Linked DNA regions of Oryctolagus cuniculus. The protein of the gene in region 1 purifies or fractionates together with the protein of each later gene. This does not show direct contact. Links are inferred from orthologs where the notes say so. Each region holds a gene or a part of one and is shown in the gene's direction. Other genes may lie near its edges.

Region 1 (7,501 bases):
AACTGGCACTCACAGGAGATGCCAACATCGCAGGCACAAACTTAACCTACTACACCACAGCACTGGCCCCAGGAATCAGCAGTTTTTAACAAACTTCCTAGATGAATTTTCTCCAGACTAAGATTTCATAATCATGGCATAATAATAGTTTCGTAAAATCATCTTAATCAGTGATACACTTTACCAACCTCCAAGTATTTCTCTCATGTACTCAACTTTCTTTTGAGCCTCAGCCTTGAATTTTCAACCACTTCCTGTATATACTTACCAGAATATTTTCTCATCCAATAGTGAACACATTCAAAACTAAATCACCACTGGGTGTCTCCAACTCTAGCATCACATTAGCAAGAGTTATCTTTGGAGTCATTCTTTACTCTTGGTCACCATAGTGGCCACGGTGCCATGCACTGAGAAAGACAGTGAAGACATGACCAGACTTGGGTCATGCCTTCAAATTTCTTAGATTCTTTTACAGAGTTAACGTAACACTATGGCAACTTTAGCTTTTTTCTCAGAATATTTTACTTTCCTCATCAGTGACCTAATCTAGAATCTTATCATTTATTATTGATTGCTGTAATTTTTTGAGTCTTTTTGCTCCTAAACTGCCACCTCATTTAAAATTAATCCACCAAAAATTTAAGCCTTCAAAACAACCATTTTAAAAACTTTTTATTTCAAAATAGTTCTAAATTTACAAAACAGAAATTGTGGAGGTGTACAGAGTTCCCATATACCTCAAATTCAGGTTCCCCATTACATTTTTTTAAAATATATTTATTTATTTATTTGAAAGTCACAGTTACACAGAGAAGGAGAGGCAGAAGGGGAGAGAGAGAGAGGAGAGAGGAGAGAGAGGTCTTCAACTCGCTGGTTCACTTCCTAGTTGGCTGTGACAGCCGGAGTGGTGCTGATCTGAAGCCATGAGCCAGGAGCTTCTTCTGGGTTTCCCATGTGGGTGCAGGGGCCCAAGGACTTGGGCCATCTTCTACTGCTTTCCCAGGCCATAGCAGAAAGCCGGATCAGACGTGGAGCAGCGGGGACTCGAACCAGTGCCCATATGGAATGCTGGCACAACAGGCCCCAGCTTCCCCTATCATTAACATCTTACATACTTGTCACATTTTTTAAAAATTCTGGTTAATGCTTTCTTGTTCTCAATTGTTTATTGGCTATTTTTCAGACTAAATTTGAGGTCTTGATGATATAGTCTCCAGAGAAATTTCTCCTAGAGAATTGTTCTTTCTCTATCAGAAATCTGAATTTGCTGAAAGCTTGTCTCTAGAATGATAACTTTATACTTTTTGATTAACCAAGCCATATTTTTCTCTTAAGGCCTCCAGCAAAAGGGCTGGCCCTTTATATATGCTCTTGCTCCAAACTCCTATGGTGACTCTCTACTTCACCTGCTAAGCATTTAGCATGTGCTCCTTGATATTATTACCTTTATTCCTAATTCTTCAATTATTCCATTGGTTTCTTAAATGCAGAAACAATGTTTTTATAAACTTTTTCTTTCTAGCAATCCAGGCTTAACGCATAGTGAGCATTTAATAAATCTTCACCATCAATTTACTTATGCATTCCCTCATCAAATAATTACTGAATGCCCCATATGGTACTTGCTTTCATAGGCTAATAATTTAGCTGGAAATACAGATGTTAAATAAAAATGAGATGATCAATAGGGTTATTCATGGTAACACAGAAATGTTTAATGCAGACCTATCACAGGTCAGGCACGAGCACAATATAAGCTGAAAGCTGACACGGCTGATGGAGGTCGCATGTAAAGCACTAAAATGCAACGTTACAAGGGCAAACGGAATATCCTGGTTGCACAAAGGAGGGTGCAAAGATCTCTGCCACTTCACGCTTCCACTGGGTCTTGAAGGAGAACTTTAAACAACAATTCGGATGATGCAAGACTTTCTTGCAAGAGCTGTTTTCAGAAACCTGGAAAGCTCGTTCCTACATCATCTGAGCAAAACCCTGAGCTCAGCCCACGAAGCTGGGACTAGGATGGCAGGTGCCTGGCGATGGCTACTGCCCAGGGCAAAGTCCCGGTCGGCGCTGCTGGGGCTCTCTAAGCCTTTCCTCGGCCCTGCCCGCCAGCATGGCCAGTTATTCCCAGAGAAAGCCCCTCGGTGCCAACAGACTTTGTCAGCACCAGGACAGAGCAAATCTGGCATCTTCCAGAATGTTAGGGATTCTCAAGGGCGGCAAGTAAGAGAGTCCGCCGTTTCCAATACTCAAAAAAAAAAAAAAAAAAAGCCTACTCCAAAGTGCACATTTCTAACGGGGCCACGGGCCAGGTTTCCTCGTTTCGTGCTACAACTGCAACAGGCCAATGTTAAGCCGGGATTCTGACACAGCTGTCTTCTGGTTAAGCACCACGCGGTTTCCCATTGTTGCCGTGTTAAATTTAGTAAACTCTTCAAAATACGGGAGCGAAACCGGGAACGCCTGCCATGACGTTTGCCATTCACCAGCTGTCACCGGCGACGCTGGGGAAAAGCGATTCACCTCAGCAGAGCCAGCCCGGCGACCTCTACAGCTGCTCCACGCTTCTCGGCTCCTTCCGTGCGCCCCCAGACACCTGCGCCCTCGCCACCGAGCCACACCGCCCGCCTCTGAGGAGACAGCCACCACTCCCACCGCGCCTTCCGGAAGGCGGTGCGCCCGCCCGCACGCACGCACGCATGCGCGATGCGGCCTCCGCGCGGCCGCGCCGGGGTCGGGCACCCGGGGTGCCCCGCGAGCGTCGGCGCCTCCGGCGGGCGCGCGTGCGCAGTCGCTTTCCCGAGCGCTTCTCCCCGCCCCTCCGGCCGTCCGTCAAGCCGCCGCGCCACCCCTCACCATTCATCCCACTCCTCTCCATCCCACCAATCCAAGAAGGCCCTCGCCTACGTCAAGAACGAACGCCGCTTTCGACCGGGGAGTCTCCGGCCGAGGACGCTCCCGGAGTTGTAGCGCGCGCCGCGCCCGCCCCTTCCGCCGCGCACGCGCACGCGCACGGCCGGCCACGACGCGCCGGGGTTGGCGGCGGCCGCGAGGGCGGCAGTGGCTTCGACGCCGCTCGACGAGTTTCCTCCGCCCCCTCCCGTCGCGCGCTGGTGTGTGGTTGCCTTTAAAAAAAAAAAAAAAGAAAAGAAAAAGCCAACTTTATTGTTCCTCGCCCCACCTCCCGGCGCGGCGCGCGCCCTCAGGATGCACTGAGGCGGGGCGGGGAGGCGGCGGAGGGTCGCGCTCCCTCGGCCCCCAGCGCCGGCCGCAGGGGCGGCAGTCAGGATGTCCAGCAGCCGCCAGGCCGGCTCCGGCTCCGCGGGGACGAGCCCCGGCTCCTCGGCGGCCTCCTCGGTGACTTCCGCCTCCTCGTCCTTAGCCTCTTCCCCGTCGCCCCCTGCCGCGGCGGCGGCGGCGGCGGCGGCGCTGGGGTCCGGCGGGGCCGCGCAGGCCGCGGGCTCGGGCGGCCTCGGGGGTCCGGCGCGGCCTGTGCTGGTGGCGGCCGCCGTGTCGGGCGGCGGCGGCGGCGGCGGGGCGGTGTCGGCGGGCCTGTCCCGGCTCAGCTGCGCGGCCAGGCCCAGCGCCGGCGTAGGAGGCAGCAGCTCCAGCCTCGGCAGCGGCAGCAGGAAGCGACCCCTGCTCGCCCCTCTCTGCAACGGGCTCCTCAACTCCTACGAGGACAAAAGCAACGACTTCGTCTGGTGGGTTTGAAGAGCACCCCGCTTCCCGCTGGCGAATTCGGGAGTTCTGTGCCTGGGGCCGGCGGGCTGCAGTGCGGGAGAGCGCGGGATGCTGGTGCAGAAGTGGCGCCTGCAGCGGGATCCGATGCTTTGCAGACACGTTCCGGCTCGGGGGTGCTGGGGTGGGCAGTGCGGGCGTCCCGAGGCAGGGTCGGCCGCAGCAAGAGAAAGAGGCGCTGGGGAGTAGTGCACGGGGGCGCCGGGAGGCGTGCAAGGTCAGGTCAGTGGTCGTTGCTACCAGGAGAAATTTGGGCGAGGAGGTGGGGTCTGGAACGTTTTGGCTGTTTGGTGACCCGACAGTACCCGTGGTGGTGAATTCAATTTGCCAAGGGAGAGGATCTTTCCTGCTGGGATGCTGAGGGATGGAGTTGGTCAGAATGTCCTCAGAGGAAGTGTGCTGGATGATGCCCTGAACATGGGTGTGGGTGTTTTAGGAAGAGGGGTTTAGTGCAAGCACCCATCGTGTGTGAATATAGATATCTCTCCTTTTCCATCTCAATGGTTAAGGCGATTAGTTTTAAATCTGCTCTTGAGGCTACAGCAGCCAGTCTGTGCACAAAAAAATTCCACTTGTCAGGTGGGTTTCTTGAAAGAACGAAGCACGTTGATGAAATATTATCCGTGGGTCAGGTGTAATTGTTTTACACTGTATAACTGAGTACACGGAAACTTGAGTGATTTGAAATGCTCCGTGTAGACATTTTGTCATCATGGTTGCATCTTGAATGATACACAGTAACATGTGGTTGTATTTGACTCAAAGGCGATTTGGTTACTTTCAGTGAAGGGTGAAGTTCATTGTCTTGCTGAGTCCGTTTTGGGGTTTTCATTAGGCTGTGCTTACTGTTGGTAGGATTATGAGACAGCAGCAGTTTTTAGCTGATTAAGAACCGACAGGGATTTGTGCCCTTCCTGCAGGAAGGCTCGTTGATAGAACTTTCAGTGAGTGTAGGAAGTTGGCTTGCACATTCATGGGGGAAGTTGAAGATAATCGGAATTGTCAGTAAGCATGATAGGGCTAGAAATGGAAATGATCGGGAACATTCATTGATTAGATGTGCAGACAGATTCTTGTTCCTGCAGAAGGATTACATCCTTATTCATAATTCTGCTTTTATTCTGGATTCAAAGTTAGTTCATTTTTAAATTGACACTGGGCTATACTTGGGATTGTTGTTCATAAATAAGTTGAACAGTCTGTGGCTGGGTCTAAGAGTTGCTTGCCTTCCCTCCCAGTCCCAATAGAGCCACACCATGAGGTAAAAGATAATAAAATAGTGGGAGTCTGCAGAATTTAGTTGTCTTTGTAAACACTATTTGCTTTTCAGTTTTCAATAGACTAAAAGAAAACAAACATGTCAGCATCTGTGTAGATCACTGAAATAGTATGGAAGAGGTGAGAAATAAGGGAAGCAATCATTCAGTCACTCAACAGATAGTTGTTTTTTAACTTTTATTTAGCAAATATAAATTTCCAAAGTACAGCTTATGGATTACAATGGCTTCCCCCCACCCCCCATAATTTCCCTCCCACCCGCAACCCTCCCATCTCCCACTCCCTCTCCCATTCCATTCACATCAAGATTCATTTTCAATTAACAGATAGTTATTTGACATTTGCTTTTTGCCAAACACCCTATGAGTTTCTGTGTACTGTAAAATACGTTGTAGGAGTAGATGGCACTGATATTTAATTAGTTTAAAATTTTATTAAAATTTTTATTTATCACTTAAATTTTTTTAAAGATTTATTTATTTGAAGGTCAGAGTTACACAGAGAAGAGAGGAGAGGCAGAGAGAGAGAGAAGAGAGAGGTCTTCCATCTAATGATTCACTCCCCAGTTGGCCACAACGGCCGGAGCTGCGCTGATCCGAAGCCAGGAGCTTCTTCCAGATCTCCCACACGGGTGCAGGGGCCCAAGGACTTGGGCCATATTCTACTGCCTTCCCAGGCCACAGCAGAGAACTGGATCAGAAGTGGAGCTGCCAGGTCTCAAACCGGCACCCATATGGGATGCCAGCGGCGCTTCAGGCCAGGGCATTATCCTGCTGTGCCACAGCGCCAACCCCAACTTTTAAAAATTTCAATCTAGTTTTGAGTCCTAACCATGTTGCCTAGACTATTGATTTCTAGTGTGGAAACATCCAATGAAAATATTTAGGTAAAAACTCTGAATATTTCACTTTCTGTCTAGGAATCTCTTTTGTCTGTTGCTTCTTTATCTGGAAAATTTGAATATTCAGTGGAATTAACTAATGAGAGACCGTTTTCTGTTTCTTAAGCCAGATTTGCTCTTGGCCAAACTCTTGGGATAAGAGGATATGAATTAGGCAAGGCCCAAGGAATCCTTTTCATTTCTGATTGGCTCTGGTGGTTGGTTGGTCTGGTCTTGTATGCCTCAAGGTCAAACTGTTGACCAATTCAAATTACTCTGCACCTTTATATCCAAGTGAGGTCAAGTTCAAATAATAATGATGATTGCTTATTCGTCTATAGCACATTTTAAGCATAGGCTTATACTTAACATTTCATTTTATTCTTACAGCAGTTCTGTGAGCTTACAGAGAACTTGTCTTTTAAAAATACAATTGCTGGCCGGCGCCGCGGCTCACTAGGCTAATCCTCCGCCTTGTGGCGCCGGCACACCGGGTTCTAGTCCCGGTTGGGGCACCGGATTCTGTCCCGGTTGCCCCTCTTCCAGGCCGGCTCTCTGCTGTGGCCAGGGAGTGCAGTGGAGGATGGCCCAGGTGCTTGGGCCCTGCACCCCATGGGAGACCAGGAAAAAGCACCTGGCTCCTGGGTCCTGCCATCGGATCAGCGCGGTGCGCCGGCCGCAGCGCGCCGGCCGCGGCAGCCATTGGAGGGTGAACCAACGGCAAAGGAAGACCTTTCTCTCTGTCTCTCTCTCTCACTGTCCACTCTGCCTGTCCAAAAAAAAAAAAAAAATACAATTGCTTTTGAAGCACAGAGAAGATAAGTAGCTTTCTTTTAGATTGGGCAGCTCAGGAACAAAATGAAAACTTGCATCTCAACATTGTTAATTTAGAACTTTCTTTGAATGTAGTTAGAGAATTTTAGATCTGTAAGTTAAGGTACTTGTATCTAGCCATCTAGCCCAGTGATTTTTTTTTTTTAAGATTTATTTATTTATTTGAAAGAGTTACACAGGGAGAGAAGGAGAGGCAGAGAGAGAGAGAGAGAGAGGTCTTCCATCTGCTGGCTCACCCCCCAACTGGTGGCAAAGGCCAGAGCTGCACCAATCCGAAGCCAGTAGTCAGGAATCAGGAGCTTCTTCAGGGTCTCCCACGTGGGTGCAGGGACCCAAGGACAGGGGCCATCCTCTGCTGCTTTCCCAGGTCACAGCAGATAGCTGGTTCGGAAGTGGAGCAGCCAGGACTCGAACCAGCGTCCACATGGGATGCTGGCACTGCAGGCAGCGGCTTCACCCACTATGCCACAGCACCAGCACCCCAGTGGTTCTTAAAATGGGGTAGATAGAGCGAAGCAGCTATTTCATTCACATGAGATATATATTTTTATCCTTGACCACTCCCTCTCCCCATTTGTCCACATCCCTAGATACCACAGTCAGAATTGGAGACAGGATTGAGCAGCTATGTCTTCCTTCCTAAGAACAGTTAGTTTAAATAAAGTCACATGTACGTTCAGATGCACACACTGACCTCTCATATTTGAAAACAAGTTTATATTTAGCTGCAGAATTAATGTTTTGGGGATTTATACTTTGTAT
Region 2 (7,472 bases), on another chromosome or scaffold:
GCGGTTGCAGCCAATTGGGGAGTGAACCATCAGATGGAAGACTCTCTCTCTCTCTCTCTCTCTCTCTGCCTCTCTTTCTCTCTCTGTGTAACTCTGCCTTTCAAATAAATAAATCTTTAAAAAAAAAAAAAGCTCTGGGCAAAAAACGACAGGATGGGTGCCATGTGGGAAATGAGAAAAGGCATTAAGGGAAAACTGGACTTGGAAGCAAAATGCTCAACCAGGAAATCAAATGTCAGGGAACTTCTCGTTAAAAGTTCGGAAGTACTTTCCCACGGGTCAGCTCAGGCCCAGGCCAGTGTCCCGCAGAGTCAGCAGCTCATGCCTGGTCAGTACAGAGCCCAGGACTCAACACTGGTGCCCCAGGTTCCTTAGGTGCAGCCAAATAGATAATTCAAGGGCTAAAGGCAGCATGCCCAGCGCCCACTCTGTGTAAGTTACACAAGTGGAGGCAGGCAAGAAGGTGGAAACAGTTGGACTTTAAAGCCTTTTTTTTATTTTATTTTTTTTGAGACGGAGAGCGATCCACACTGCATTCTCCACGGGTGGGGGGGGGGTGAGGGGCAGCCGCAGGGCTGGCTACTCTAGGCGTCCCTTTTGTAGGGGCTGGCTCCTCTGCGCCGCAGGCACACGGGCCCAGTGCCAGGGCGCACGGACAGAGCGAGCACACAGGAGCTCCTCGCGAGCCCCAGCATCCAGCGGGAGAGGACGGCGCCGCCGAGGCCTCCCCGGGAGGGGGCAGGGGGCGCCGGGGCAGTAGGGTGCTGTTTGGTTTGCGCCTTGGAACTCCCAGTGAAAATTCTCGGCGACGGCACTTAGTGCTCTGTCGTGGAGCGAGCAGGACCGCCTCTCGTGCTTCCCAGCTGCAGGGATCTGATTCGCAAACACACCATCTTGCAGTCAACGCTCGAACGGAAAGCAGGCGGCCGAGCTGCGTGCCAGCCTCGGAGTGATCCGTTTCCGGGTGGGGGAACCGACGGGAGCGGACTCCGGAGAGGACGTGTGAGAGCCCCGACCCTCCCTCACCTCGGCTCCAGAACCCACCCACCCGGAGCCAGTGGGGTTTGCTCGGGCCTTGGGCCTTGCCAGCATGAGCCAGTCACTAAAATCTGTTCGAGACCCAGACTCAATGGACGCTGCTGCTTCTTCCCACTGGAAACGCAGGCCTCTCCTAATGGTGGCTGAGATTAGAGGGCTCGGTTTCCGTTCTCCGTGTTTCTGTGGGCCCGACGCCCGGCTTGGTCGGCGAGTTTCAGTGTGTGTGTGTGTGTGTGTGTGTGTGTAATGACGAATTCCTCTCGCCTGATTCTAAAACCATAACTTCGCTGGGTGCTGCAGCTGCGATGGTCTGGCGCCAAGCGACCCAATCCAGGCCGGAGGGAGAAGTGGGGGTGAGTGGGGAAGGGGAAAGAGCCGAGCTTCGGCAAAGTGGGAAGTAACGGCGGCTCCGCCCGGCCTCTGCCCCTTTAAGTGCTTCACTGACTCAGCTAAGCTTCCCCCTCAGGTCGCGTTTTTTATGAATGAAAAACGTCCTTACATTCATTACATAAACAAGCCTGTGCTGATTGGCTAACGGCCCCCGGTGCATAAATTATGTAAAACAGACCCCAGAGTGGGGTGGAGAGAGACGTACCGTTGGCCAATGGGAGCCGGAGTTGATGGGGCGGCTCGGCTGGATTTGCCCGAAGACAGGGTAAACAAGAGGTGATGGACAGCCGCGGGAACGGCCTCGGGCCAATGGGAACAAGGGTGGGTTAAGGCCGCAGGCCAATGGCGGCGGGCGAAGCAGTGGGCCGCTGGGGGCCGGGCCAGCCGCTCCAGCCTGGTTGGCAGCTGCGGCGCAGAGTCCAGCCGCTGGTGTGCGGAGCGGTTCAGTCTCCGGAGCGGTTCGGCCCAGCCATTCGTCCAGGCGCCCAGGCCCGGTGCGCGCGTGCGTGAGCGCGCCTGCGCCGCCCGGGCCGCTGCAAGGGGAGGAGAGCGGCAGCCTCAGGTGTGGGGGCGTTGCGGGGACAGGGGGGCATCGGAGGGGGTGTCCTGTAACGCGTCCGAACGGCCCAGCTGGCGAGAGTTCGCGGGCTGTTCCTCCATCCTCAAACTCGGGGTGCACATCTGGGGTGAGTCCCCCGGGGCTGGCTGACCGACAACCCCCCACCGCCGTCCCCCGCGGCCCGGTCCGGTTCGGTTCCAGGGAGGCGTCGGGCGGGGGCGGCTAACGGTTCCGGAGCGCGAGAGGAGCGGGTTCCGCACGTCGCTGGGGAGGCGCGCGGGAGCGCGAGGTGCGGGGGCTTCAAGGTGGAGATGGGGAGCGCCGAGTTGCGGAGCTTTGCAGTCTCTGGAGATCTGAGCCCCGAGGGGACTTGGAGGCTCGCGAGAAGAGACGCTTGGCGGAGCTTTGCAGCTGGGGGGTGGGGTGGGGGAGGAGTGCGTGAGGGCCACTGCCCCCCCAACACCCAGAGAAGGTTAGTGACACCGGAGGGTGTAGCCTTCGGGGTGGGGGTCGGCCAGGAACTTCTGCAGGCCTTGCAAGTTTCAGGCTGTGGAAAGTGGACGCTCAGCCCCGTCTGCCCCCATCATCAGTAAGCCGAGGGCGTCGGGCTGCGCAGCGACTCCCGAGGAAAATCGGGGAGCCCCCGAGCAGCGGCCTGCGGAGGGTGTGGGGGAAGCGGGTGCGGAGGGGGATGGAGCGATGCTGGAGCCTCGGGCTGGATTAGGAGACGGGCCGAGTCTTCGGACGAGCCGGGCCTCTGGGGGGAACGGAACTCCCGGTCGAGGAGGGGGTGCCGAAGAGCGATGTGTGGATCTGGGGGGGTGGGTTGGAGGCGCTTGGTAGCGCCCGGCGCAGCACCTCGTTTTATGAATGTCGGCGACTTGATGAATGAAGCGGGTTTCTTTCGTTGGCTCGCTGCTCCCTGCGGCTTTTTTTTTTTTTTTCCTTCCCTCTCCCCCTTTCCCTTTTTGTGAATGAAGCATTGAGCTCTCTTCCTAAAACGCTGGGGTGAGGGGCCTGCGTCGGAGGCTGGGCGTGCGTTGGGAGTGGGGGTGGGGGCGCAGCTGAAGGAGTTTTCATGAATGGGGAAGGCTGGGAATTGGGTGGAAGTGTGTCTTGTTTTGTGAATGGGGCCCAGCGCGAGGGATCCAGTTACAGCCTCTACCTGAGGTGGCGGCCGCGGCTCGCTCTCCATTCATAAAACCGGGCCCGCTGCGCGCCGCGGGGGAGGGGCTCGGCCGCGCCGCAGCGCTGAGTTAAAGTTTTCCTGGGGGCGCCGCGGGGCGGGGGCGCGGGAGGGGGAGCGCAAAGGAAGTGGCTTACACTCCTGGATGGACTCGAGCCTTCCCTTCGGGCGCATAGCAGATACTTTGAACACGGCGTTGCTAGCCCTTGAACTCCGGAGGCTGCTTTCAACTCGACGCTGCTTTTTGTGGTTCGCTCATGGCAGGTCTTTTTTATTTTTTCTTTCCCCTCTTAATTTCATCTTTACAAATAGATTTGCCCTTCAGGGAGAAGTATTTTATCGTGATATTCTGAAAGTGTCTCCCCTCTGGTGTCCTGCCCCACCCCAATAGACGCTGACAGAATTTCTAAAGCCACGATTTAACCAGGCAGATTTTCCGCCGGAGACAGAGAGCTCTTTCTGGTTGCCCCTTCGCTCACTTCTGAGATTTCTCGCGTTTTGTGTACGGGTTGGTGACATGTGAGAACGAGGCTTTATCCTGAACTCTTTTGCGCTGTTTGGAAGGCAGGCGGGCAGGCTGGCCCCGGGTGTTTTTCTAGGAAGTTATAAACTGTGTGCTGTTTTGCTCCTCTTTCTTTTGACTTTGAAAATATCTGATTACTTGGGCCAGCGTGCTGAGGAGGAGGCTGGCGGTGAAGGGTTCTCTGGTATCCTGCTCACTTTCGAAAATTTGAGATGCTCCACGCAGTGTGAAAAACAGATTGGATGGAATTGCCCGCTGGGAATAAAAAAGTTCCCTGTTTAAAATTCGTGTACAAATTAAACAAAAGAAACCCTTACTGCCTTGCTAGAGCTAGGCTGAGTGAAATTAATGCATTCCCCCATTTTGTAAGAACCTATGTTTTCATATGGAGAATAAAACGGAGTTCCAGAAGCTGGAACCTTTCTAAAATTACTATCACTTTGTTCCTCCAAAATTAGAGAAAGTTCTCTCGCCTCCCTTCTGATTCTTAACCTTTCTTCGCAGTGCTAAACATTCACCAGTGCTGAAATGAGTTTTATTTATTTCTTTGTTGATATGTCTGGGGAAATTGACTTCACTGTAAGAGACAAACTGAATGTTCTGCCATGGATGTTTCGCTTTAAGCATTTTTTTAAAAGACTTTTGGCACAGATGCACTTAAAATATGTGTAATGGAATTTAGTTTCGTTTATTACTTTTCACAGACTTTTATTCTGTCAGAAGTTGGTGATATCACAGATAAGTTACCATGGAGACAGTTTGTGATATTATAGACACTACAGGTACACCTGTTTGGACAGAAGGTTTAGATTTTAAATAAAGAATTGTGTGTGAAGAGCTTACCTCTGATCAACTTTATTCCTGGAACTATATATAGTATTTTACCACTGACCTACAAAATACTTTTAGAAACACCATGTATGTCAGGGTGTTAATTGCCAATAATTTGGAATACTTAAACCCAGTTTCTCTACTTCCTGTCACTGCACTATCAAAAATTAAATTATCTCCTTTTAAAACCCTGCCCTGGGGGATCTTGCATATGAGAGAAATTTGAAATCACCCTTTAATAATGAAATAAGGTCTTTTTCTTTTTCTGATGGGGGGACAGGCAGTACCAGAACCTTGACGATGATGATGAGAGAGAGGGAGAGAGAAAAGAAAGGAAATGGTGCTTGAGTAAATGGCATTAAGTCCGTGGTGCAGCTTTGATACCGTTAATCAAGCCTGCCATTGGTCTGTATAACTTACGCCTTGAGTGGGCTTTCAAGTACTTCAGAAAACGGTAGTGATTTGGCACAGGCCCTAAAGGAAAAAGTAGTGTAAAATTGCTTCGTTTCTCTCCCTGCCCCGCAGTTGAAGATCTCCCAAATTCCTGTTACAGGAGGATTTCCTTTGCCCCAGAAATTACTCAATGCTGAAACCTTTCAAAGCGGCATTAGAGACGTTGGAAGCATCATGGATGGATTTTATGATCAGCAAGTCCCTTTTATGGTCCCAGGGGTAAGTCCACGTGACGTTTGGTTTGTCTCATCCTCCCTGCTCAGTGATGAGTCTTCTCCATGCTGCTTCAACGGGTCGACCCCCTTTGACCTGTGTACCACACTCAGGTGTTCTGGCCTCTTTCAGAAATCCCGATCAGAGGAATGCCGAGGGCGGCCTGTGATTGACAGAAAGAGGAAGTTTCTGGACACAGATCTGGCTCACGATTCTGAAGGTAGTGAAGCACACCCCTCCTGTGTTGTGGCTTCCTCCAGTCACGCTCCCCCGCCAACCCCCCACCTTCTCCCAAGCAGAAGAAAGATCCTCATTCTGGGGTCTCCTGTTTTCAATTCCAGAGTTGTTTCAAGATCTCAGTCAACTTCAAGAGGCTTGGTTAGCTGAAGGCAAGTTTCTTGGCTGTTCTATTTTTCATCTAAAGCATTTCACTGTGCTTTTTAATAAAAAAAAAAAAAAATCCACGGTCTAAAATGAACATCTCTTTTGCAGCACAAGTTCCTGATGATGAACAGTTTGTCCCAGATTTCCAGGCTGATAACCGTAAGTGTCTCGCGGGGCTCGGGCGTCCGTTCTGAAGCGCGTATTTGATTCGGATCACCCAAGTCTGGGACAGCCTCAGCCAGAGCCCGCAGATTTTGCAAGTAGTTACTTGTGACAAATCAGAGCTAACCCAGAAAACTTGTTTTGTTCCTTATTGAAATGATTCCTAAAGTGCTTCTACTCCTTTGCAGGTGAGATTGACGGAACAAAATTCCACCCCACATTTCTTCCTGCTTTTACAGCTTTGCAAACCTTCTAGCTGAAAATTAAGTTTAACTGACATATATGATGTTGGACCAAGCATCTGTTCGCTAGACAGTATCTGACAGCTTTTGGGTTTGTTTTATAAATTAAGTCCTGGATGCAAATCACGAACCTGAGGTTTTCCGTTCTTTTTAAAGGTGCAGAAAGTAGTTCATGGGAAAATCCACTTAATTGTGGTCTCACGCAACGTGTTTGTTGTCAAACTCGTTTCTACTTCTAAGCTGACAAGGGGTGGTCGAAGAGTGACCTGACTGGCAGTTACTTTTCTCATAGTCCCCCCTGACTTTGCTGTTCCAAGAGTAGAAACATTTTTTTTTTGAATGGTCATTAAGTGCTTATTCCTCGAGATAATAAAATGCAGTGAGGAGCTCAAAAGATGGCTCTCAGTGCTGGCAGGGGCATCCTCAGCCTTCACGCACTGAATCGTCTGGGGCTGTCCTCCACAGGTTTGGAGGCTTTTGTGGTCCAGGCAGAGCTATCAAGGACAAAGCTGCCTGATGAAATTTGAGCAGCACAGAGCCGCTCTAGAGAGCATTAGTCACTGGCGAACGAGCAGGTTTAAGAGAGGCCTGGAGAAAATGCTGCCTCTCTTGAGAGTTGCATCATAGAGAAATTCGTGTCTCTTAGTCATAGTTTATAATAGCAAGCACCTGAGCCAGGCATGGATTCGATGTCTCATTTTTGCACCAGCAGATTCTTCCCAGCTTTGTTTTATCTCTGGGGTGTGTGCATAAAAATGCCAGTAGGAGACAGAGTATCTTTGGGTCTAAGTAAAGCTGGGTATTTTACATTTATGAAATGAAAGAACAGAAGTCCCAGCTAAACGTTCTTTAATGATAGGCCTCCTGTCCAAGGCAGAACGCCATGAAACTTTAAAAGGGATTAAACTGTAACCCACAGATGCTTGGTTACCTTAGCTTTGTCACAGCTTGCTCTGGGTGTTTTCTATAGGCAAGTAAATGAATTTTAATTATTGCCCTTTGATTGCTTTCAAGTAATTGGGATGCCTGCCACTAGAAGGCTAAATAAAGATAACTCAAATTATGTGTGTGTGCATGTGTGTGTATGTGCACACGATGAAAGACGGGATTTGTAATCCAGCTTTGTTCCCTGTTGACGGTTTGGCCAGTTCTTGCTCAGAGCAGCATCAGCTGCAGTCTGGGAGGTGGCTTTCTTGGCAGCGATTCTTTGAAATGCTTTTATGACACCTTGGTTTGTTTCTCTGGAACCCAAAAGAGAGAAAAGAGAGGTGTGACGCTATGTGCACATTGACCGCGTGGCCTGCAGCAAGGGCTGTGTTCCATAGAGAGATGTTAACAAGTAAGATTTGTACCTGAAGAGGTGTTTCTGTGTGGGAATGGGCTAAAGTGGAGAAATCAATAAAAGTGTTTTGGTTCCTTAGAAATAATTCCTACTCAGCGAATGGTTTATGCTAAGTTCTTTAATTAAAATACCAGACCTTAAATGGAGTT

Evidence for each region.
Region 2: the proteins of COP1 (region 1) and ETV5 purify together in Homo sapiens (affinity purification with mass spectrometry; 6 studies listed by BioGRID and IntAct, counting the BioPlex papers as one, with this or other methods). This does not show direct contact. The link is inferred for Oryctolagus cuniculus from reciprocal best matches to the Homo sapiens genes COP1 and ETV5.

What each region holds. Positions count from the first base shown.
Region 1 is NC_091438.1:4,385,051-4,392,551, reverse strand, and holds the start of COP1 (E3 ubiquitin-protein ligase COP1), read left to right. Parts: upstream 1-3,018; 5' UTR 3,019-3,294; coding exon 3,295-3,710; intron 3,711-7,501. UniProt on the Homo sapiens protein: E3 ubiquitin-protein ligase that mediates ubiquitination and subsequent proteasomal degradation of target proteins.
Region 2 is NC_091435.1:95,816,737-95,824,208, reverse strand, and holds the start of ETV5 (ETS translocation variant 5), read left to right. Parts: upstream 1-3,278; 5' UTR 3,279-3,430; coding exon 3,431-3,437; intron 3,438-5,052; exon of another isoform or gene 5,053-5,080; coding exon 5,081-5,199; intron 5,200-5,325; coding exon 5,326-5,413; intron 5,414-5,534; coding exon 5,535-5,582; intron 5,583-5,685; coding exon 5,686-5,736; intron 5,737-7,472. Other genes in the region: uncharacterized protein, read right to left, coding at 1,634-2,209, 3,153-3,182. UniProt on the Homo sapiens protein: Binds to DNA sequences containing the consensus nucleotide core sequence 5'-GGAA.-3'.